Rhinolophus ferrumequinum: one gene and its partners. The protein of the gene in region 3 interacts with the protein of the main gene of each other region in a biochemical or structural test. Links are inferred from orthologs where the notes say so. Each region holds a gene or a part of one and is shown on either strand. Other genes may lie near its edges. The genes, in order: EIF4EBP1, RPS6KB1 and MTOR.

Region 1 (7,112 bases), on a different chromosome or scaffold from region 3:
GAAGAGGATTCATGAGGAATTAAGCCTAAGAACATGCTCTTGAGGTCCAGGTAAACATTGCAGACACTGCTCTAAGCCGCTAAAATTTTTTTACAAACCCTTGAGCCCAGGAACCATATTAAAACGTTGAATCCACCATTGGGAATCCTTCATGTTAGCTTGTGTGTCCTGTCGCTATGGCCCTATCATCTTTAGAAACTCCTATGTATGATAAGGACTTCCTATACTTTCTGCCCCAGATCAAGATTCAATCATTTTAAAATAAAAAATAAAAAAAAACAGGCAGATTCTCCATTGACTCGAGAATAACACTATGGATGAAAAGAAAGAGATCTTACTGTGAGAAATAGCCTTGTCACTGAGTTTATGGGAAGCAAAGCAGAACTGAGAGTCACGGCGTCACCACTGGTGAGCGCCAAGGGGCTGAATATTGGGAGCCAAAAGGCACAGAGTGGAGGTGTTCGTCAGCCGATAACTCGGGTTTGCAAGCAGGGCTAAGCAAAATGACAAAATAGGAGAGAGAGAGAGAAAACAAACATGTTAACCAGGATGAGGATGGACAAGGCCCACGAGGCCACTCACCAAGCCCACCAGGCCCCTCCAGGCTTGCTCAGGGCTAGTCTTCATTCCAATCACATCGATTAACCTCAAAAAGCATTTCCTACCAGAAAGACCGGTCCTGTGTGCCTGTCAGTGAAGAGAGCATGACTGCATGCAGGGATACTGCAAATCCATCTGCAATGGAAACAGAGCTCCAGAAGAAAGGCTGAATCGTATGCGGGGCGGGAAGTATAGAAGAAGAGCCCAGGACCCCTTATCATATAAGAAAGTACAGGAACCTCCAAAGACCCCTGGGGCCATGGTGACAGGACATGCTAGCTAATGTGAAGGACTCCCAATGTTGAAGGGGGAACATTTTCAGCATCAAATAACATTAGGAAAGGATTATTAATAAAACAAACATGCCAGGTCCCTTCTCTCCCACTACTTCCCTTACTCCCTAACAACCCCTCCCTAGCCTAAGGGGCTTTGAAGTCAGTCTCTATTGCACTATGACTCAGTGAATCTGGAAGCATCTCTCACTCTTACAGCTCCTGTTACTCCCTCCCCAGGCAGCCACTCCTGGGGACCCTCTCTTGGCACTTCCCACTGCTCCAGTTCAACAGATCTGTGTTGAGACAAACCCTGGGGAAGGGCCAGGGCCTGCTTAGGTCTGTTCTTTGTTTCCATTGATATTTTTTGTTAACTTCACAAAGCATTTCATACCAGAAGGCCTATGTGCCTGGTTGGCTATCCAGAAAAATTCTACTTAAAATCTGCCCCTTGTCCCTCCCTCCCTAGAGGTCAAGTAGAGCAAGATGGGATGGAAACTGTTCTCCACTGTGTCCCGCTCCTTATCTTATTCTTCTTGAAAACATCCCTTGCCACATTCTGCTTTATTTTGACCTCCAGCTAGAATTGCCAGAACAGTCATAAGCTAATAGATTTAAAAGACCTTCGAAGAGAAGACAGAAATAAACATGCAGCTGAGCACCCAGATGTATTATCAATAGCCTCTCTAAGGTAAGGGCTGTCAAGAGTGAGAATGAGTAAACACATGCCACTGGTGCCACCAATTAATCTTTTTAAAAGACAACTCTCATCATGCCCTATAGAAGTTGATACTTGATTATAAAACTTGATATGAATGAGTCCCTGCTCTATAAAGAGGTAGAAACCATCAAAGGTGAAATGGCTGGACAGGAAACAGAATTCAGCAGTGAGTTTGTCAAAGACAAAAAATGTCACTGCTGAGCGTTCTCAGAGATCTTTAAAGCCACCCCCATCCCCCCTCTGTGACAGATAATGAAACTGAGGCCCATAAAGGGGAAGGGACTTGTCCAAGACTGAACACGTATTTAGTGGCCGCACTGGGGCTAAACCCACACCCCTCAGCCCAGGCCAGTGCTCCTCCTATATCCACGAGGGTCCCCAGGTCTAGTCAGCCCTCAGCCCTCTGGCTCCTCTAAAGCCCTTAGACTTTCCTCATCAGCCCTCCACAGCCCTATGAGCAGAGGTCATTGCAAGCCCCTTCCCTTCTCAGCTAACCAAACACGCAAGTCCAATGAGGCACCAGACGAAACCCCCTTTTAGAACAGTTCCTCCCAAGGGGGGAGAATGGGCGCTTTGTTTTCTAGTGTGATGAGAAAAGAGTTGGTCTGGAAGGGAGTGAGACCGGGTTCCAGTGCTGCCTCAAGCATTTTACTGCTGTGTGTTCTTGGATAAAACTCTGCTCCTCAGGATTTTTTGTTTTTGTTTATTTTTCAATAAGATGGAGGTGAATATGGTTCTGGATGATTTATAAGGTACCTGGCCATATCTAAAATTTGATGATTCCATAGTTTTTTGGGAGGAAGTTTCTGAGAAAAACTTTAAGATTGCTTTCATACCACCTCATCCTACAGCAGCGCTAACCAATAGAAATATATTACGATATATATATATATATAATTCTTATAGTCCCACTAAAAAAGTAAAAAGAAACAGGTGAAATTAATTTTAATAATAGATTTCATTTCACCCAATATATTCAAAATATTATTTCAATATGTAATTAATATAAAACAAATTATTAAGATATTTTACATTACTTTTTCACACTGAATCTTTGAAATCTAGTGTGTATTTTATACTTATGAATATGGACTGGCCGTATTTCAAGTGCTTCAGAGGCATGTGTGCCCAGTGGCTACCTTACTAGACAGGCCTAGAGTTTAACTCAGGAGTGACCTATCTTAGGCCTCCACCTCCTGTGGTCCATTCTCAAACTCCATGGTCACCAGTTAGTTATCTTTCTAAAAAAACAACACTAGGGCCAGCCCGGTGGCTCAGGTGGTTGGAGCTCCATGCTCCTAACACCGAAGGAGGCAGGTTGGATTCCCACATGGGCCAGTGGGCTCTCAACCATAAGGCTCCTGGTTCAATTCCTCAACTTCCACAAGGGATGGTGGGCTGTGCCCCCTGCAACTAACAACAGCAACTGGACCAGGAACTCAGCTGCGCCCTCCACAACTAAGACTGAAAGGACAACTTGACTTGGAAAAAGTCCTGGAAGTACACACTGTTCCCCAATAAAGTTCTGTTCCCCTTCCCCAAAAAAATCTTTATTTAAAAACAAACAAACAAAAAAAAAAAACACTAATAACCCCACTCCCCAGCTTAAAAGATCGCCGATATCTCCTCCTCTTGTAGGACAAAGTCTGAACACCCTGGCATGATTCACAATCCCACCCCAATTTTCCTTTTAAACTGTTCTCTTCTCTCCCTTTCCAAGATGTGGCGACAATGACAGAAACTGCTTGCTCACCCAGCAGGCTTTTCCGTCTTCCTTGCATTTTTTTCCTCTCCACTAAGGGATCTCCTTGAAGATTCATTGTTTCATCCACTCAAGGAGTATCTACTAAATGTCAGGCAGTCTGTGGGTCGTTGAACCCAAACAAGTCTACTTTCTTTGATCACCTACCTCTCCCCAACCCCAACCTCCATCTGGCTCAGGGTTTAGCTCTACCACCCAGCTGTGTGGTTTATCCACGTGTCCTAGCACACTGTCTCCAAAGCCGTGGAGCGAGAATTCTTGCCCATTTCTTCAACGCCCGCCACATTGTGAATGCTCAGTAAACCGAACAACAACGAGAGAAGAAACAGTCAATCCCCACTTTTTCATCTGAGAAGCTAAAGCACTGAACCAGGAGGGTTGGGGGAACATCCGGCCTGATGTCCTAATGCGGGGCTTCCTAAACTGGCCCGAGTGGTCTAGGATCCCCATACAACCGGGAGAAGCGCCCCCGACCCAGCGAGGCATTAACCTAGGCAAGCTTCCCCACTCCCCACGCCCACTTCGTCCCCGCCGGCGTGGCCTGGAGGGGCCCGGGACCTAAAGAGGCCGGCAAAAGTAGGGCGGCGCTGGCACCGGCGCTCAGTAGACTGTCGGAAAGCGGCCTCCCATCCAAGGATACAGGGAAACCCACGTGGAGGCAGAAGCTCCGAGGCGGGTGGGCGGAGGCATCGCTGGAACTACAAATCCCAAGGGGCGTCGAGCGGAAAAGACGGAAGGGACGGTCTTAGGCGGGGCCCGCGGGAGCGAGGCGGAGCAAGGCAGGAGGGGCAGGAGGACCACGCTCCTGCTGCCGGAGCTGCGCGCGGGCGACCATGTCCGGGGGCAGCAGCTGCAGCCAGACCCCAAGCCGGGCCATCCCCGCCACTCGCCGGGTGGTCCTCAGTGACGGCGTGCAGCTGCCGCCCGGGGACTACAGTACCACCCCCGGTGGCACGCTCTTCAGCACCACTCCCGGAGGTAGGCGCGGGCTCTGGGGCTCCAGGTGCTGGCGGTGGGGAGGACGGACTGGGCAGATCGGGGGACTCGGCAGCCGCCCATTGAACTGGGCAACCAGGTTCAGGGGCGCGGTGACTGGGAAGAACGGGTAAGTGGAATCAGGGAGGCAGCGAGGGCCACAGGGAGCGAGCTGGTGGCCACCTCCCGTTGCCTGCCCTCTGGGTGCGTCCTCCAGCGCCGGGTTGCAAACTGCCGCATTAGTTTCCTCCTGGTCTGAGAGACAGCTGAGTGCCTCCCACCCAAACAGATGCACACGCTTCCAGGACTGCCACATGCCGAGGCGTGCTGCCCCTCGTGGTGTTGGGGGCAGTTCTGAGGCCGAATACGGTGGGGTCTGGATGGCCCACGGATCAAGGAGAGGCTTGGCCTGGGTTTTTTAAAGGATGGGACGGGGGTTCTCTGTTGGGATAAATGCCTCATGCAGAGTCCTTTTTCCTTCTCAAGTTATCCCCCGGTTTTGTGTCGGGTATGCACCCTCTGACGAAGGTTTTGGGCTGAGGGTATGCTCCTGTGCCAGCAGCACCTCGTCGGCACCTGTGCCAGATTTCCCATTTACGCTTCTGGGATCTCCGCGGGGGGACCTGGGGCGGCCGGCTGGGCTGTGCAGAAAAACACGTTCTTCTCTCCGGGGGGAGGGGGTGCCGTGTGACCTGGCTGAGTGGATGAGGAAGAGGAAGCTGAGCTGGCACGGGTGGGGGCCAGCCTTGGGCTGCCCTCGGAAGCCAGGCATTCCCTCCCAGCCCCGAAGCCCTGGCGCACAGGCGCTGATGAAACCTGCCCGCCTGTTTGCATAATGAAATCCTCCTCGCGGCTCACCACTTCCCTCCCATCCTCTTACTGCCCTCACCCCTTTTGCCCTTCTTCCCTCCCCTACACCCGCCTGCACCGCTCCTTCTCAAACTACTCACCCGAAAGAGGCCGCAGGTCCTGGCGCTGCGCTGAGAGACCAGGGTGAGGACCGACGCAGGCGGGGCTCAGCCTCCTCTGCCAGCGTCGGGGGCCACATGCTTATTTTCTCAGGCAGCTGTCCCACCACCAACGAGCACAGCCAGATCCAAGGTCTTAGGCTGTTTGATTCAAAACATACAAAGTTAGAATTATTAGGGATCTTAGATTTTTTGTCCAGCCGTGCAATCTTATTCTACAGAACATGACACCGAGGCCCCAAAGCTTAAATGCGCGTGTTCATTGTCCAGTGTCATACTGTTTTCCCCAAAACTGAACAAAAAAACAAAAAATAGCAGCCAAGCATAGAGAGAACTGCTCTCTCTCTCCTATTAAAAATGACCTGAGGAAAAGTTCCCAGCTACTCTTCTTGCCATTCTTGACTCATTCTTGGCCAAGAATTCTCGTTCCACGGCTTTATGTAGTCCATGCTGTTCTGCTTCTTTTGCCCTCATGATGTGTCTGCCATGACCTTTCCTGACAATTTGGGGATTCTTTCAAATAAAAGTGTGAATCTGCTTGATCTGTTCAGGTGGGTACTGAGGTAGGCCTGACGGCTCAAGAAGCCCTCTTTTGCACCTTTTGTTGCTGGTTGGGGACAGATCAACTTGGAAGCAATACCCAGTGATACTCTTTATAGGAAACTCTCCACTTCTCACTTTGGACTGGGAAATGGGTGGGTTTTGGCAGACCACAGCAAATTCTCTTCTCATTGAATGTCTTTAGTTGGGAGAGGGGCGTCTGCATCGTAATGTAACTTACTTTGGGAGGCCAATTGGAAGAAATCTAGCAGTGACCTAAAGCCAGGTCTTTCTTGTCGGGTGTCCAGTGGGGAAGGTATACAGCTCACAGTCCATAACCAGAGAATCCTGACGTGTTTCTGCCTCAGTTAGCAAATCTGGCCTGCCACAGTTAGCCAAGGTGTGAAATCTTCCTCCAAAACCCATTTACCCTTCCCTTTGCCAGGGCAGAGCAGCTTAACCTAATGAGAAAAGGCCATTCTGGTGCCCTTTTGGTCTACTCTAGAGGGCTCTTACTCAGTTTTCAGTGTGCATACAAATTACCTGGAGACCTCTGTTACATGTAGATTCTGATTCTGTAGGTTCTGGGATAGGGCCTGAGATTTTGCATTTCTAACTAGGTCCCAGTGATTGATCTAAATCTCACACTCTGAGCACAGTAGTCCCTCTTTACCCATCCATGGTTTCGCGTTCCTTGGTTTATTGCCCATGGTCCAAAAATAGTAAATGGAAAATTCCAGATATAAACAATTCATCAGTTTGAAATTGTACACCATTGTGAGTTAGCAATATGAAATCTTGTGCCACCCTTCTCTCACCCTTCTCTGTCCCGCCTGTGCAGTGAATTATCCCTCTGTCCAGCATATCTACCACGTCTATGCTACATGCCCGTTAGTCACAGGGTTTGGTACTATCTGTGGTTTCAGGCATCCACTGGGGGTCTTGGAATGTAACTTCCCTCACCTTTTCAGACCTTTGGGGTCTGGTAAAAAAAAATGATGATTCTCTCAAGGTTGGGTTTGGCATCAATCTGTAAACCAGGGTCTGGCGAGAGAGTCTGCATGGGTGCTCGCACTCACTTATTTGCAGGAGGTGTCAGGAGCTGTTGAAGTAAGTGTCCAGCAGTCACTCTTGCTGGGAATGGCACTGCACTGTTTGTCCGTGGAGGGAAAGGTGCAGCAGTTGATTTGAGCCATCTCCATTTATGACTCCAGTTTACTTTCCATGGTCATTAACCTGCCCACAGGCTGAGCCACTGATCTGAAGTTAGATGT
Region 2 (7,536 bases), on a different chromosome or scaffold from region 3:
TGGGCCTATATAGAAATTTCCTTGTAATGGAGAGAAATGAAAATTCTTTGAAGGTTGGCAATGGCATGATGCCCCCTAACATGAAGTCAAGGTCCCTGCTTTACATACTAGAGACAGAAGGATTAACTCAGGAATGGATTCCTAAGAGAAAATGCACAATTGTCTTCTTTGAAAATTTTAAAAACAGGGACACTTCATTTGTTTGGAAAAGTTAAAGCAAAGTTAAATGAATTGTTCACGCAACTACCATATTGCATAATCACTCCTGACACAGTAACTTAGCATTTCCAAAGAAAGGGTCAGATCAGTCTTTTACCTACATTGATTTCAACAGCAAGGAATACAAAATATAAAAAATTCAGTTCATACCTCACCAGTTCCATAAGGCCATATAATCTGATTCATTTTCAAAGAGCTGGAGTACTGATCCTGTAAATTCTGTGTAACAAAGGCTCCTAGTCCTGATCCTGTACCCCCAGCCATACTCATTATGATGAAAAAACCACTCAAAGAGTCACATTTCTCCGCTTCCTTCTGGATTAGGTTCAATATAGGTTCTTCATGCCTGGGTCCATGAACAGAGTAACTATGCAATGCAAAAGGAACAAATGCAAACACCTTTCAATTTAACCAGAGAGATGCAATGCAGAATAGAGAAGTCTTTTTAAACCTAGGGAAGTGAACTAACTCTCATGAAAGGCACAAAATTTAAAATATTCAAGTTAAAGATATTTAACAGGTAGATAGGACTGTTAAGAGAGTGAATTTACTGGGTACAGAAATTCTCTTTTATAGGCCACTCCTTTAGCTGTAGACTTCAATTACCAGGTAGTTCTGTAAGTTTATGGTACAACATAATATTCGATGTTCTTAACAATACACCTTAAACAGTGGTTCTTGAAATTTGCTGCACATTCCAATCACCTAAGGAAGCTTTGAAAAATCCCAACATCCAGGCTTCATGTCAAACCAATTAAATCAGAATTTCTCGAATTGAGCCCTAGGCACTGAAATTTTCCAAAGAACCCAGGAAACACTACTGCCCTGCTGTATCCCATATTAGCTGGAATACCTGCCAGATAAAGATATTATATTGATAATAAGTTAGTTGGCAGAACGACTGTGAAGAAGTGGAAAACCCTACTGCAAGAGATCCTTGGTTTCATCATTGTTTGGACCTGAAGCATATACATACGTAAGGTAGAATTTCTTTTGAGTGAAGTCACACCCTAAATTTTAAAATAGCAATTTAAAGATTCTTTGCTCAGTATATCAACTTTTTACTTGTAACTACACTATTTATTAATTGACTATGTAGCTGTACCTAAACTGAAAATCATGAGTTATTCTTACCCATATGCCCAGTTGTTTCCAGAACCTTGTTTTTGACAGAAGCCTGAATGCTGGCCATATTTCCATCGGCCAGACTGGGCAGCCTTTAGTAATGTTTGATTGATAACTTTAGGTTCCATGTCAACAAGTACAGCTCGAGCAATTGGAACTAGAGAGGGGGGAAAAATATTTCACAGTCTTATTTGGGTTAACACAGAGCATAAACTCCTAAGTACAAAAAAAAACCCCAAAGGTTGAGGATACAAAGATCTGTCACACTGCTTAGAAATTGAGGTGGGCAGCAGCAGGTATGTACAGATGGTTCAGAATGCCTAGCATTCTGCTAAGCAGGATGAATCAGTGTGGGCTAAAATAATCACTGGGTCAGGTCTACAAACATCTGTTGCATTCTTACATAATGTAACATGTACTGTGCTGGGAACACAGAGATGAAGATCAATCCAGCCCTAGAAGGACTAGTGGGAGAAATGAAAGACATCGACGCTTAATCACTATATCAGGTGATATGACCCATGACGAATCTACAGTGATAGAATAGCATATTCAGAGGTACAAAATACCCAGGGCACACAAGCAGTTTAGGATTGTTGAAGCAAAAGATGGAGAAGGAGGGGGTAGAAGTGATGGACGGAGATGGAAAGCAGGCAGGACTCAGATCTTGAAAGTCCTTGTATGCAATCAAAGCTTGAAATTTATCTTTTACGTTATGTGAAACCACTGAAAATGTTCAAGCAGGGGAGGAACAGTCAGATTTAAAAAAAAAATTTTTTTAATACAGCAGTGTGGAGGATAGCTATGATAGACACAAGAGTGTAGGCAGGGAAACTCAGAAGGACTGTCTTGAAACAATCCAGGTGAGAGAAAACAAGAGCCAGAACTAAGTCCATGACAGTGAAGATGGAAAGGCAAGAAGAATTTCAAGAGATATGGAGGAAGTAAATTAAGCAGATGTCTGATGTTATGTGTATAGTAGGAGCCCAAGTTTTAAAGGAAAGATAATGAATGATCTTGGGTATGGAGATGTTGAATTTGAGGTACACATGGGAGATGCAGGTGAGTATGTCCACTAATCAGTCGGCAGCTTGGAAGAGAAGCTAGGCTAGAGATTTGAGAGTCACCAGTGTAAAAGATGTAGCACTTAGAAGAATAATTGAAATTGCCTAGAGAGAACTATACAAATCAGGACAGAGAGCCTGCGGTGCAACCACTGGAGAAGAAAACTTCAGACAGTAAGGAGGAGTTTTATAATTAATGTTATCAAATCCAGTAGAAAAGTTAAGTGAATTAAAACAAAAATAGTCATTGGATCTGGTAATTAGGAGATCATTGGGAACTTTTCTCAGAGCAGCTTTAGAAGTGAAGAAGGGCAGAAGCAGGATTATAGTTGGTTAAAGAGGGTTCTCCTTTGAGAATCTTAGATGAGAAGCAAAGGTAAGAGAAGAAAAAAGCTATAGACGAGAGATACGTTTTGTTTGTTTTTAGATTGGCAGGGTCTGAGCATGCTCTTGTGCTGAGGGGAAGATGCCACGGTAGGGGCAAATGTTGTTAACATAGAAACAAAGAGTCAAGAGCAAAGTCATTCCCTAGTAAGATGGGAAAGTATGGGGTTCAGACACCACGTGGATGGCCTGGCCTTGAAGTGGTTGGTTATGTCAGAGTAAAAGAGGACTGTGGACCACACATACCTCCATTTTCCTCCTCACTGAAGAATCTTTCTTTGCAAGACGCTTGATATGCTTCATTCTCTCTTTTAGAGCAGAGTCTCTGGGGACAGTGTGAGTCACTAAATAAAGCATCAAACACTTCAAAACCAATCTGATTGCCACACTGACCAAGTTGCAGTGTTACTATTGACATGTTGAGGCCTGACAAACTAGGCCTATTTCCTCAAAAAAGTGAGGAACCAACCTGTAATAGAAAAAAGATAGGTGTTGAGAACTACATTACTAATAAAGAATAAAATGCTATATGTTAATATACATCAATAAAATATATATAATTTTAAAATGCCATATATGTATATGGTTTTATAGATGAAATAGCTATGTTGTCTAAGATGCCAATCATTCAAGGAAATTATTCTCTTTCTCCATATGGCTTTGGGATTTGGGATTTACTGTACCCAAATCCATTCACACACAGCTCAATAGTTTCCAAAATCTGATTTCTAATCACTATATTCCTATGTATACATTTAAACAAAACAAGATGAATGCTAGTTGAAGGAATAAATACTATACATTTCCCACCATAGGAACACACAGAATGCAGAAATTAGTTCAGAAGTTAGTACATGTACTTAACATTAATTCTCTTCTGAATAATGACTTTCTTCACCAATCACCTTTCTGGCCTGGTAACTACAGTAACACTTATAAGGAAGACTTTGTGTTTAGCTCAGGTAGGACAGCAAGGAAGATGAAGCTTGGAAAAACTAGACCAGATGAAACATTAGAGCAGGTCTTCATTATTTTTTAACAATGAAAAGAAACAAGTTTTGGTGAACGCCTCACACCAGGTCTATGCAGCAGTGAAAAGAGCAGTGGCTTGTGAGTCACACTCTGCAGTTACAATTTTCAAACAACCCTGCAAACTAGGTACCATGATTCTCATTTTATAGATAAGGAAACTGAGTTTCTGAAAGGTTATGTGACTTTCGCAAGGCTACTGAACTAGTAAATAGCAAAACCAAGACTCCCTTTCCCCACCAACCCTAGGAGTTCCCCATTAAGCCCACTCACTGACAGCCCCAGGACCAGCCGTTTCTATCCTGTTCAAACTTCAGAGGACCATCATGCGCATGCTCACTTTCAACACCCAAAAAGCTATGGAAAACGAATGCGCATGTTCCACAAACGAAGAGTGTTGTGGGCTTTTTTTTTTTCCCTATTCAGAAAGGTTAATTACGCATGTTCAATTTCAATTTATCAACTTCAGACACGTTACGCATGCTCACTGTCCATCAAAAGCTTTAGCTGACAATGCGCATGGTCTAGATTCCAAGAGAGGCTTCGGCTGGGGTTCTGCGCATGTTTCTGCCCGTACCTGGCTCTTGGGGATAGTTCTACGCATGTTCATTGCCCACAGTTCGGCTTCAAAAAACCCTGTACGCATGCTCTAGCGCTGAATTTGAGGAGCAAGTCTAAGGCCTAGGCGCAGACGCACTGAGCCTAAGCAGCCGGTGATGGCGGCAGCGGCGGCAGTGGCTGCGGCGGGTCCGGGCCCATGAGGCGACGACGGAGGCGGGACGGCTTTTACCCAGCGCCGGACTTCCGAGACAGGGAAGCTGAGGACATGGCAGGAGTGTTTGACATAGACCTGGACCAGCCAGAGGACGCGGGCTCTGAGGATGAGCTGGAGGAGGGGGTGAGGCCCGAGGTCCCGGGGGGCCCGAGGTGACAGGGCTGGGGCGGCGGCGCGGGCCCTGGAAGTCGGGCGCGTCCGAGAGCGCAGAGACCCAGGGGGCGCGAGAAGTCTCCAGGAGGAGCTGAAGCGCCGCGCGGCCCGAGGCAGGGGAGCGGGCGGGGCGGACCTGGCCCTAGGTGTGAGGCCGCTGCGGGGCTCGCAGGTGCAGGTCGCGCCCCTAGCTCTAGATCAGCGCAGCCCGGAGCAGTCTGTGGAGCGAACGAAAAGGCGCGTGGTCGATTTCTCCAGCTGTTCGACTTGAGTGTGGCGGGCCGTGAGTGGTGTAGCGTGTGTTGGGGGAGGGGGACTGCGCTTGCTGGGTGTCCCGTAAGTGCAGGTGAAGTGCGGAAGGGTTTCCCTCCGAGTGTAAGATTTCAAGCATTAAATCTTCAGACCTCCCACAACCACCTCTCTTCTCGGCCTGTCGCTTCTCTCCTAGGAAGCGCTCAGCTGTTAGAAGTGACAGCTGAAAACTTCTGTCGGGAGTAGCGCTGCCTCTGCTGTTACAGCCACCAGGAGTTTTATTTCGGGAGCAAGGGGGCTCTGCTGCATCTTCCAGGGTTTGTTTGTTTGCTTTTTTTTTTTAACCCCCTTCCGTGTGACTTTTTAAAAAACGCTTTTATAACGACACACGGTGTTTGTAACTTACATTTCCCCCAGTTGAAGATGTCTACATTTTTTCAAAATACTTTCTGTAATTTTGGGGTGGAAAAAAACCCAGCGTTGACAGCTGTGATTTGGCTTGCCAAAAATAAATTGCTTGAACGGAGACTTGTGAATGGTGGTGTGAGGGCTTTCCTTGCTGTAATTTAGGGTGCTAAATTTAGAATTGTTTTTCCTAATGCATAGCTTGGTTTCACCTTTGCTGTCTTAGTAGCTTGTTATTCTTTATGGAATAGCACTCGTATTTCAAGACAAATTTATTGAAAAAATCACAAATTATACCTAAGTTAAAGAATGGTGTTGTTATACAAAATAACTAATTCTGGGCAATTGATCATGTATAATCTCGTGGTAATTTAGAGTCTAAATTCCATTGTCTAGATGAGTACACATGGGTTGATGACTGATGTAAGATGTTTGTTCTAACTACATAAGGGGCTTCCCTTTCTTTCCCTCACTCATTTTTCTTCCTCTGGCAAGTAAGTTGTGCCCTGCTTGTTGACAAAAGATTGAGATGCTATGTATACAGAACTTTGGAAGCTTGATGAAACTAACTGGGCTAAAATAGTTGATCTTTTCATAATCAAATGAGTCTAAATCAAAATTACACAGTTTGGAAGGTGGGTATTGAGATGTGTATTTTTTAATATGTTTGCATATGGAATTCCAGTTTGCCTCTTAATTGAACATGTGATACACTAATTACAATTGGAAACAAAATGGGATTACTTTCATTACATATATAATCCTCTCATCAATTATATTGGCTCCATATGGCAGTGGCTTTGAAGCAGGGCAGGGGAGAAAACTTGATAGGAAGGATGCTTTATAAAATCTTCATTAGGTGAACTGATAGAATTTCCAGGCCATGGGTTCATCAGGAGAAGTTAAAGGAGTTGGAAGTAAAATACTGTATTAAGATTCCTGTTATGAACTGGAACCTCGTAGGATTTGGGCCTATTCCTGGACATTTGTTTTGCTGGGTACAAGCAAATAGGACTGTGAGAGGGTGTGGAAGAGGAGGCCAGAAAAATTGATGGAAATAGGAAAGAGAAAGAAATGTGGCCATTATTCTAGGGAGAGGAACTTTGGGGAAAGAGCAAAGGTAATTAAAGAGGACTTTGAGAAAGCTTTCGGCAAATTATATTATATTTTAGCAATGCTTTTGGAGTTGAAAATGTTTCTTTTGAGTGTGTTATTCTAATAGGTGCCTCACGGTGGAAAAGAGTTGGAGTGGGATTGGGCTGGCCACCCAAGGAGATTAAGTGACATCCAGGTTCCTCTAAAATAAAATTGTAAAATTTTGAAAAAATGAGACAAGTTTAGATTTTTGGAAAATCGGGCTTTTGTGAATTTATAATTATATAAGTAATATTCTGGCTGCTTGTGAATTTATAATCTTTAGTTTAACACAAACTTTTTAAAACATTGGTATCATATCAGATACCATTGGTAACATATCAGAGTAGCCTCCCTTCTTCGTTTGATAGTAAGGAAACTGAGGCATAGGCCAGAGAGATGATTGCCCAAGGCCATATAGGTAACTGGTGGTAGTGTCTTGTGACTCAATTCAGCAAGCTTCACTGTACAGCTTTTTCATTGCATTTATTAGTCTTGTTCATAATGTACCTCTTTGTGGTGTGTCAAAGTGAATTCAGATCCTTCCAGGTATGCTCACTGACGATGTGACCTAGAACAAATTGCTTAATCTCTAACACTTTTTTTTCTCTGTAAAATGATGATTGCATTAGATAAAGTGTATACAGTACTCCAAAATATCATGGCATATTAAGCAGTTAGCTAGTTCTTGGAAATAAAGCTTGTCAGTGCTACGCATTGCCAAGGAACCAATCATTCAAGTTTACTCTCCTCTATGCCTAGAGACTTAATAAATACAGTTATACTAGAAGGGCTGTACTTTTAGAGCTTTGTATCTTTTTTTTTTTTTAAATTAAATCATTGGTCCTATTTAGAGATACATGCCTACACTGAGTCGGTCTGTATTAGTAAGTAATATGTATTTACATAGCATAGTTAATTCTTCAGTGAATAAAAGATGAGGAGAGTAATTTAAAGTTGAATGTCTGCTACTTAAGTACAAAAAAAGACCCTGAT
Region 3 (7,930 bases):
TAGCTGAAAGTATTAGCTGTACAATTTTGAGCTCATCAAAGTTAATTCCACTAAAATTTGAAACTGTGGCATGATAATATATGACCTACAAAAAGGAACTAGATACAAAAAAAATCCATATATTTTTCCATATATATGTATATATACACAGAGGGTGCCAAAAAAATGTATACACATTTCAAGAAAGAAAAACGGTATTAAAATTGTAATAATATTTACCGATAACAAAGATGAATACAAGTCACATTTGATTTCTGCAATTACAAGAGGTGCTCAAAGTGGTTACCATCGGCGTCCAGACACTGCTGATTACAGAGAACTACTGCTTGAGCAATGTTGACCAAATTGTCCACTTGTATATACTTTTTTGGCACCCCCGGTGTATATAGAGATATAGCTATATAATATACATATAAAAATTTTCATTTCTAACATCCAAAAGCCAAGCCAGGATCTTCTCAACCCACTACAATTTTCAAAATAATCCACATGATCCACACAATCTAGATTTCACATAAGTGGCCTAATTGAGAAAAGAATCTTTGACCCATCATCCCTAACCCTATAACTCCTACACAAAGCAGCAGTTTCTAGCACATGCAACTAAGACCTCCAGCACAGGAAACCTGCTAGTTCTTACCTCCTGTGTAGAGGAAGGAGCCAGAAAGGCCTCCAAAGTAGATGAGAGCCAAGTGCTCCAGTTTCAGAGGGGACATGTAGTAGAGGCAAGCGGCACAGACACAGCCCAAAGTGTACAGGAAGACTCCAAACCGCACAACATCCTGGGGCTCCAAGATTCGGTCCACCAGGGTCCTGTCATCACTCTTTTTGTGGTCAATACCCTTGGAAAAGTCATAGTAAGTGTTGACCAAATTGCCAGCCCCGTGCACAGCCAGGACTGCCACGGCACAACCCACCAACAGCCTGGGATCCAGGACGCCCTGGGATCGGTAGGCCAGGGCACTGCCCAGGGCCACCGGGGTGAGTGAGGCACTGAAGCTCCAGGGCCGCAGGGCCAGCACGTAGGAGGCGCACTTCTGCCTCCAGGAACGCTGGAGGGGCCTGTCCCGCTCCGGACAGTCGTTCCCTAGCAGGTCCCTGTCCCCGGCCTTGGCCGACTCTCCCGTCCGGATGCTAATCTTCTCCCCTGGAACTTGCGAGGCCGCCATGGAGGCTGCACGTGGCTGAGCTCAAATGTTAATAGTGAGCCACGCACAGAACAGCGATTGCCGCGGGACCAGGAGGGGCGGGGTGGGACCGCCGGACCTGACCTTCTTCGGTTCCGCCCCGGGGCAGGGCTGGGGAGGCGGCGGGGCCCCGGGGCAGCAGCGAGCGGGCCTGGCAACCCACGAGGCCGGGTGGCACCGCTCGGGCTTCCTGTCACCTGGGCGAAGCCTGTCTCCGGACCCCAGCCCGGCGCTAGAGCCCAAAGCCGAGAAGCACACACTTCCTCGGGACTACCGGGACCGCCATCTTGTGCGCCCGCCTCTGGAGGCCGGCCCGGAAACAGGGGCTGGCCGCGCGCGCTGGGCCGGCCGGGCCGGGCGGAGCCAGGGCTGGGGAGCCGGCGGGAAACCCGCAGTCCAGCCCTTCCTTCGCAGAGGAGGAGCGCGCGCCCAGCGGCTGCGCCCAGTCTCGGTTAGCATCACAAGATCCACCAGGAATGCGTGTGGCTTTCCGACTTAGCAAGAGCTTTCACTCATCGGAAGAGGACTCATTCATTTCTTTTCATGCAACAAGCATTTATTGAGCACGACTGTACGCAGCAGTGAACATAATGGACAAAATCAGGGAGCACATTGAGGGAGATGAGCACATCCCTTCTAGATGAGAAACTTGAAGCTCTGAAATGGGAAATGATGCCTAAGAAATTATTCACTCCAATAATAATCACGACAGCAAAAATTCCCGCTTTCTATTGTACAATTACCAATGCCACATACACTGCAATAACCTGCCTGCCTTTTTAGCCACATTTTAATTTAATATTCGTACAAATATCTGCCCACCCCACCCTATCAGGTGGCCAGCTCTGTGTCTTCATTGCCCATCTTCTGCGAGCTTCTGTAGCTCCTTCTGACTGGAGAAAGCCAATTGTTAGATTTTGGGGAATTTTGTCAGCCGGTCATGAAGCACATCCATTATTAAAAATCAAACTACACAAACTTACAATTAGATAAATTATATTAAAAACAAAGGTAACAAATACTCAAAACATTACTTCCTAATTACTTCACTATGTTTTACCATTTATACTCTTTAGGTTGTTGACATTTGTTGTGGAAATACTATATAACAAGGTGCTACTGCTCATCTCTTCCTAGCTTTTCATTCAGTGACATCAGTTGACAGCTTGAAATCTGCCCTAGTGGGAGTATTTATACCACACAAATCAGCACATGCTTGATAATTGTTTTGTTGATCACCTAGACTTAAGAAAGTGAAGGGGAAAAGTTAATAATGCCAATTAAATTCACAAGTGTGTCAACTCTGTAGCTGTTACATTATGAATAGCAGCAAAAATTTTATGAAATATTCTTCCAGGATTGGAAAATTATTATCCATCCAGCTCAGCAAAGAAGCCTTCATGTCGTTGACAAACTAGTGAATTCTCAAAATATCTCTAAATTAATTCACTTTCCTCTTACTCATTAACATAAAAGAAAGTATCTACCAACATTCATGTTGGAACTACACTCATTGATCAATTGCAAACATAGGGAGGCTACAGAAAACCACAAAAAGCATCCTGTTAGACTCAATTGGCTATGTGCAATTTACAATGAGAAGTATTGTGTATTTATTAAGAATTTCAAGACAGAATATTACAACCTCACAGATCACAATAGCCGTGAAACCAGCCCTATATATACACGTATATTCCTGTCCCCACTTACCAGCCAGCTGGTTGTTAAAGATTTACAACTTTAGCACGTAGCACATATTGCATGCTGGACAAACCCAACTGTCCTATCCTGCCAAATCAGATGAGAAAAAGAAGCAGGTATTTTTAGATCCTGGCTCCATCACTTATGAACTCTAAGATCCAATCCTTCTGTATGCCAGTTTACTCATGGATAAAGTATAAAGTGGGAACAATACAACCTGCCTCTTAGATATGTTCAGAAATAAAAGTAACAACATTTATTGACTGTTCACATGTGTTATATAGTGTTTTAGGTACTTTACATGTATTAATGTTTAACCCCCACAACACTGCCTGCTGAGGTACATATATTATAATCCTTCCAGTTCTATAAATAAGGACATAGATACATAGAGATTAAATACTTGCTCATACAGTTAGTAAGTTTTGGAGCTAAGTTTCAGATTCAGTTACTTTGACTCTGCCCTACTTTTAACCAGTACTCAATAATGTCCACCAAAATGCCTGATACTTTGTAAGTGCTTGATTAATATTAGTAATAGATTATTTTAACATAATGGATAAGAAAGCTCTTTGTAAACTTGAAAAAGAAACCTACAAATGCACTGGTTACTGTTGCTATAAAACCATCTTTGTCAGTTAGAAAACAGAGCCTTATCGTGTCTTAGAGTGGCAAAAATTTCATATGAAATGAAAATTGGTACCTCCCTTATAGAGATCAATTTCATAATATCCATCAAACTACACGTGCATTTACCCTCTGACCCTGGATACCCATTTCTGGATTTTTTGGTATAGCTGCCAGGGAATAAAATTATATACATATGTACAAAGGAATTCATTGCAGCATCATTAGTAATAGCAAGAATTTGGAAACAACACAAGTGTCCATCAACAGAGGACTCGAAAAATAAATTATGGTACATCCATGTAATAGAATACTACTATGGAGCTATAACAACAACGAAGGAACAAGGAAGCTTTCTATATAGTAAGATAGAAAGATCTCTAAGGTACACTAAAATTTTAAAAGTGCAGAACAGGGATCAGTAGGTGGCTCAGTTGGTTAGAGCACGAGCTCTCAACCACAGGGTTGCCGGTTCAACTCCCTCCAAGGGATGGTGGGCTGCGCCCCCTACAACTAACAACGGTGACTGTGGAGCTGAGCTGCGCCCTCCACAAGTAAGACTGAAAGGACAATAACTTGACTTGGAGCTGACGAGTCCTGGGAAAAACACACTGTTCCCCAATAAAAAGTCCTGGAAATACAGTGTTCTTCAATAAAGCCCTTCCCCAATCAAGTCCTTCCCCAATAAAAAAATCTTTAAAAAAAAAAGTGCAGAACAGTGTATATAGTATAACAAAAGGGGAAAATAAAAATGTTTATACTTGCTTGTATTTACATAAATAAAATCTAGGGATATGTTAAGTAAGAAAATAAGTAGTGAAGAGGCAGGGGTGGAGCACAAAATTATATATTGTGATAAATGTAATTTTTATTTATTTTGAGATTTGAACAGTGAATACATTATATTGGAAAATGTTTAATGATTAAATATAGAGATGTTGAACACAAATAAACAATGTGAAATTCAGAGGAACAATTTTCACAGAAGAACCAATGCAATGAAAAGATTCTCGGGTCCATAAGTAGCGCTAGTCTGGAAACACACTCCTCTTAGAATTAAGCCGGGCGAGTTCGCGAACCCCCGCCTACCGCCGCTACCAGGCAGCCGACTAGGCACGGCGCAGCTCCGAGGCAGAGGGGAATAATAGTACCGATGCACCGGATGTGTGCGTGGAAGTGACTGAAGTCAACTCACCACTGATTGGTTCTCCGGAGTGGACTTAAGCCTCCTTTCGCCTGCCACTGGCCGCGTAGTTTGTCTATTTGAGCAGTCCCCGCCCCCTGGAGAAGCCGGGTCCCGAAGCTTCACTTCTCCTTCATTACTATTGGTGTGTGTTTCAATCCATCTTCGCCTTACGCCTGCCGATTGGTTCTTAGGTCTGGGAGCCAGCCCTCCCTGCCGCCGGCTTAGAGGACAGCGAGGAAGGCGGGTGGTAGGGCCCCGGGCCTGAAGCGGTGGTACCGGCGCTGGTGGCGGCAGCTGAGGCCTTGGCCGAAGCCGCGCGGTGAGTCTGGAGCCTGGCACCGACCCATGCAAGGCGGCGGAATGTCCAGACCCACAGCCAGCCTGGTCTGTGGAGGGCCCGGGGAAGCCGCCCTTCTGGGCCCTGGGGTCCCTTCAGAACTGGCCCCAGACTTGGGCGCCGCCTGAGCCCTTAACCCCCACCCTGCGAGGCAACGCCCACCTCCTCCCGGACCCCCAGGAGACCCCTGGATCCTTGAGCCTGCCGTGCGTCTCTGGCTGCGCGAAGGCCGGCCCATCAGCTCCGGTACTATCGGGGAGCCTTTGGGTCTCCTTGTCCGTCAGTCACCCCTTCTTCGGAGCCACCTTACAAATTGTCCTCAGAGAAGACCAGCGTCAGTCTCAGCCCCTTGCACTCCAGTCTGGAGACTTCTCAAGGAACCTTTACCCGGAGCTGAGCTCGGTTCCATCCTTGGGTTTCATCCCTCTGCCTCCCCCGCCCCCATCCCTAGTTTCAGCCACCCAACTTGAACTTCTGTAAGCCCTCCCCAGTTCCCTTAGGGCATTTGACTTCCAGCATTTTAATTGCATTCTGCCTGGAGCAGATGGCCTGTGGGCCTTAGACCTTAAAAAGATAGGCTGGTTCTTTCCTGAGAATAGAAATTCCTTGCCAGCCTCCCTCCCCGTCATCACAGAGGCGCGGTCACACACCCTATAGTAGTTTTCTCATCAGGGATCCTTGGATATTCCCTCCCCTGGAGGAGGACATTTCCTTCTGCAGTCTTTTTTCTGGCACTGGAGTATTTAAAAGGTTTTCAAAACCAATGATTCCGTGTGTTTTTTTCCCTTGACATCGCAAATTCTTTCAAAAATAAGAATTTTGAAAAATTGATATTCTACTATAACCTGAACATACCTAAGTTAGGTATATATGTTACTCCCGTAGCAGTCTGGGCCAACCCCTATTCTGGCCACTTTATTGTGGTTGCCTGATTACTTGTATTTCCCCTTAGATTGTAAGCTCATTGAGGGAACGGACAGGTACATAATTGAGGAATGAATGAATGGTTTCAGGAACTAATCAGTCTCTTTTAGCTCACATTTCAAGTACTAGTATTCTACAGAACTGCACTGTCCAGTACGATAACCACCAGCCATGTGGCTTAGAGCGCATGAAATAATAACCATGTGGCTTAGAGCGCATGAAATGTGACTAGTCTAAATTGAGATTGCCGTTAAGTGTAAAATATACATTAGATTTTGGAGACTTGGTACAAAAAAGAATGGAAAATATATCAATTTTTTATATTGGTAACATGTTGAAATGATAATTTTGGGTATATTGGATTAAATAAAATGTATTAATATTGCCTGTTCTTACCTTTTTGATATGGCTACTAGGAAATTTAAAATTACATTTGTGGTTTGTGTTATATTTCTGTTGGACAATGCTGCTATGGAATAAAAATTTCCCTCTTTAAATTGAACTCTCTGAGGAAAGGCAGTCTTAGGCATGTTTTATTCTCTCTCTACCTCCCCACCTCTAGTTTCTGGCACTATAATAATAGCTAACAGAACTCACTGTGTGCCCGGCACTGTTTTAAATACTTTTTAACATGTATTAACTCATTTAATCCTCACGTCAACCCTATGAATTAGGTAGTAGTATTCCCCTATTGCAATGGAGGAAATAGATATTTCAAGTATCTTCTCAAGGTACATAGTTTTGGACTGGATTCAAATGCAGGTAGTGTGGCTCTGCAGCCGGCAATTTGACCCTGTTACTACGCTGCCTCTGAAACATCAGTCATTATTGAATAAATAGTGGCTTTCTCCACTTTCCTTAGTGAAGTCTCCCTGCCTGACATGGACAGGGTGGAGATCGGTATGGAGAAACTGGAGTCGTAAATAAACTCACTGCCCTAGTTTGTTAACCAGGATTTTAAAGGAAGCTTCTCTTCAAAGAACCTCAGGGCAAGATGCTTGGAACCGGACCTGCTGTCGCCACCACAGCCGCCACCACATCCAGCAACGTGAGTGTTCTGCAGCAGTTTGCCAGCGGCCTGAAGAGCCGGAATGAGGAGACCAGAGCCAAAGCTGCCAAGGAGCTCCAGCACTACGTCACCATGGAGCTTCGAGAGGTGGGGGCTTCTGCCATCTGGGGCCATCCCTGGCGTGTTGGGGCAAAGTGTGCCATCACTGGCTTAGATTTCTTTGGACAGCTCAGTGAGATTCTGTTTGAGAGATGCACCCAGTTTCTCGTGTCATAGAATGGGCAATTTCCTTTGCCGTGGTTACACAGTTCTGTGGCATTTCCTATTTTGTAGTGACATTTTAGGAGTCAGCATAGAGAGTTATTTTTAAAATTTGTTTTCTTTTCCCCACTGCATTCCAGATCTTCAATTCTTTCTGCTTGATAACAGTGGTCGGGACGGGTTTGGAGAGCTGGTAGCTTGGGGCTTTTTAAACAGTAACCAGACTGGAGGTCAGGGACACTGTCTCGTTCATCCTTGTACCCCTGGGACAGGACGTGGCTTGCCGTGGAATTTACTCAATAAGTATGTTAAACAGACAGGCGAATTGAGAGTTCAGTTGCTCTACAGTTTAAAACTAGAAATGGGCAGTAGCTTTGTCACGTCTGGTTTGAACTGTACCTGCTGGCTACCTCTCACGTCCTAATCTTTGGATGTGACCCCTCACCCCCATCCTCACCATCAGGGCGACATTAGAAATTGTTCTGAGTTCATCCTCCTTTGCAGATGAGTCAAGAGGAGTCTACTCGTTTCTATGATCAGCTGAACCATCACATTTTTGAACTGGTTTCCAGCTCAGATGCCAATGAGAGAAAAGGTGGCATCTTGGCCATAGGTAAGGACAGAGTCTTTGGTGACAATAACAACTGGGAATAAAGGACTGTTTACCTTTGAGTCCACTGCACCCCGTGTCTGCTGCT

What was found.
Region 1: of the proteins of MTOR (region 3) and EIF4EBP1, one has a biochemical effect on the other in vitro, tested with the Homo sapiens proteins (29 studies listed by BioGRID and IntAct, with this or other methods). The link is inferred for Rhinolophus ferrumequinum from reciprocal best matches to the Homo sapiens genes MTOR and EIF4EBP1.
Region 2: of the proteins of MTOR (region 3) and RPS6KB1, one has a biochemical effect on the other in vitro, tested with the Homo sapiens proteins (18 studies listed by BioGRID and IntAct, with this or other methods). The link is inferred for Rhinolophus ferrumequinum from reciprocal best matches to the Homo sapiens genes MTOR and RPS6KB1.

Annotation. Positions count from the first base shown.
Region 1 is NC_046287.1:61,504,109-61,511,220, reverse strand, and holds the start of EIF4EBP1 (eukaryotic translation initiation factor 4E-binding protein 1), read left to right. Parts: upstream 1-4,105; 5' UTR 4,106-4,188; coding exon 4,189-4,333; intron 4,334-7,112. UniProt on the Homo sapiens protein: Repressor of translation initiation that regulates EIF4E activity by preventing its assembly into the eIF4F complex: hypophosphorylated form competes with EIF4G1/EIF4G3 and strongly binds to EIF4E, leading to repress translation.
Region 2 is NC_046304.1:26,277,084-26,284,619, reverse strand, and holds the start of RPS6KB1 (ribosomal protein S6 kinase beta-1), read left to right. Parts: upstream 1-4,439; 5' UTR 4,440-4,578; coding exon 4,579-4,719; intron 4,720-5,197; exon of another isoform or gene 5,198-5,318; intron 5,319-7,536. Other genes in the region: TUBD1 (tubulin delta chain), read right to left, coding at 370-586, 1,354-1,501, 3,039-3,210. UniProt on the Homo sapiens protein: Serine/threonine-protein kinase that acts downstream of mTOR signaling in response to growth factors and nutrients to promote cell proliferation, cell growth and cell cycle progression.
Region 3 is NC_046292.1:7,570,151-7,578,080, reverse strand, and holds the start of MTOR (serine/threonine-protein kinase mTOR), read left to right. Parts: upstream 1-4,888; 5' UTR 4,889-5,020; intron 5,021-6,942; 5' UTR 6,943-6,956; coding exon 6,957-7,118; intron 7,119-7,736; coding exon 7,737-7,845; intron 7,846-7,930. Other genes in the region: UBIAD1 (ubiA prenyltransferase domain-containing protein 1), read right to left, coding at 641-1,169. UniProt on the Homo sapiens protein: Serine/threonine protein kinase which is a central regulator of cellular metabolism, growth and survival in response to hormones, growth factors, nutrients, energy and stress signals.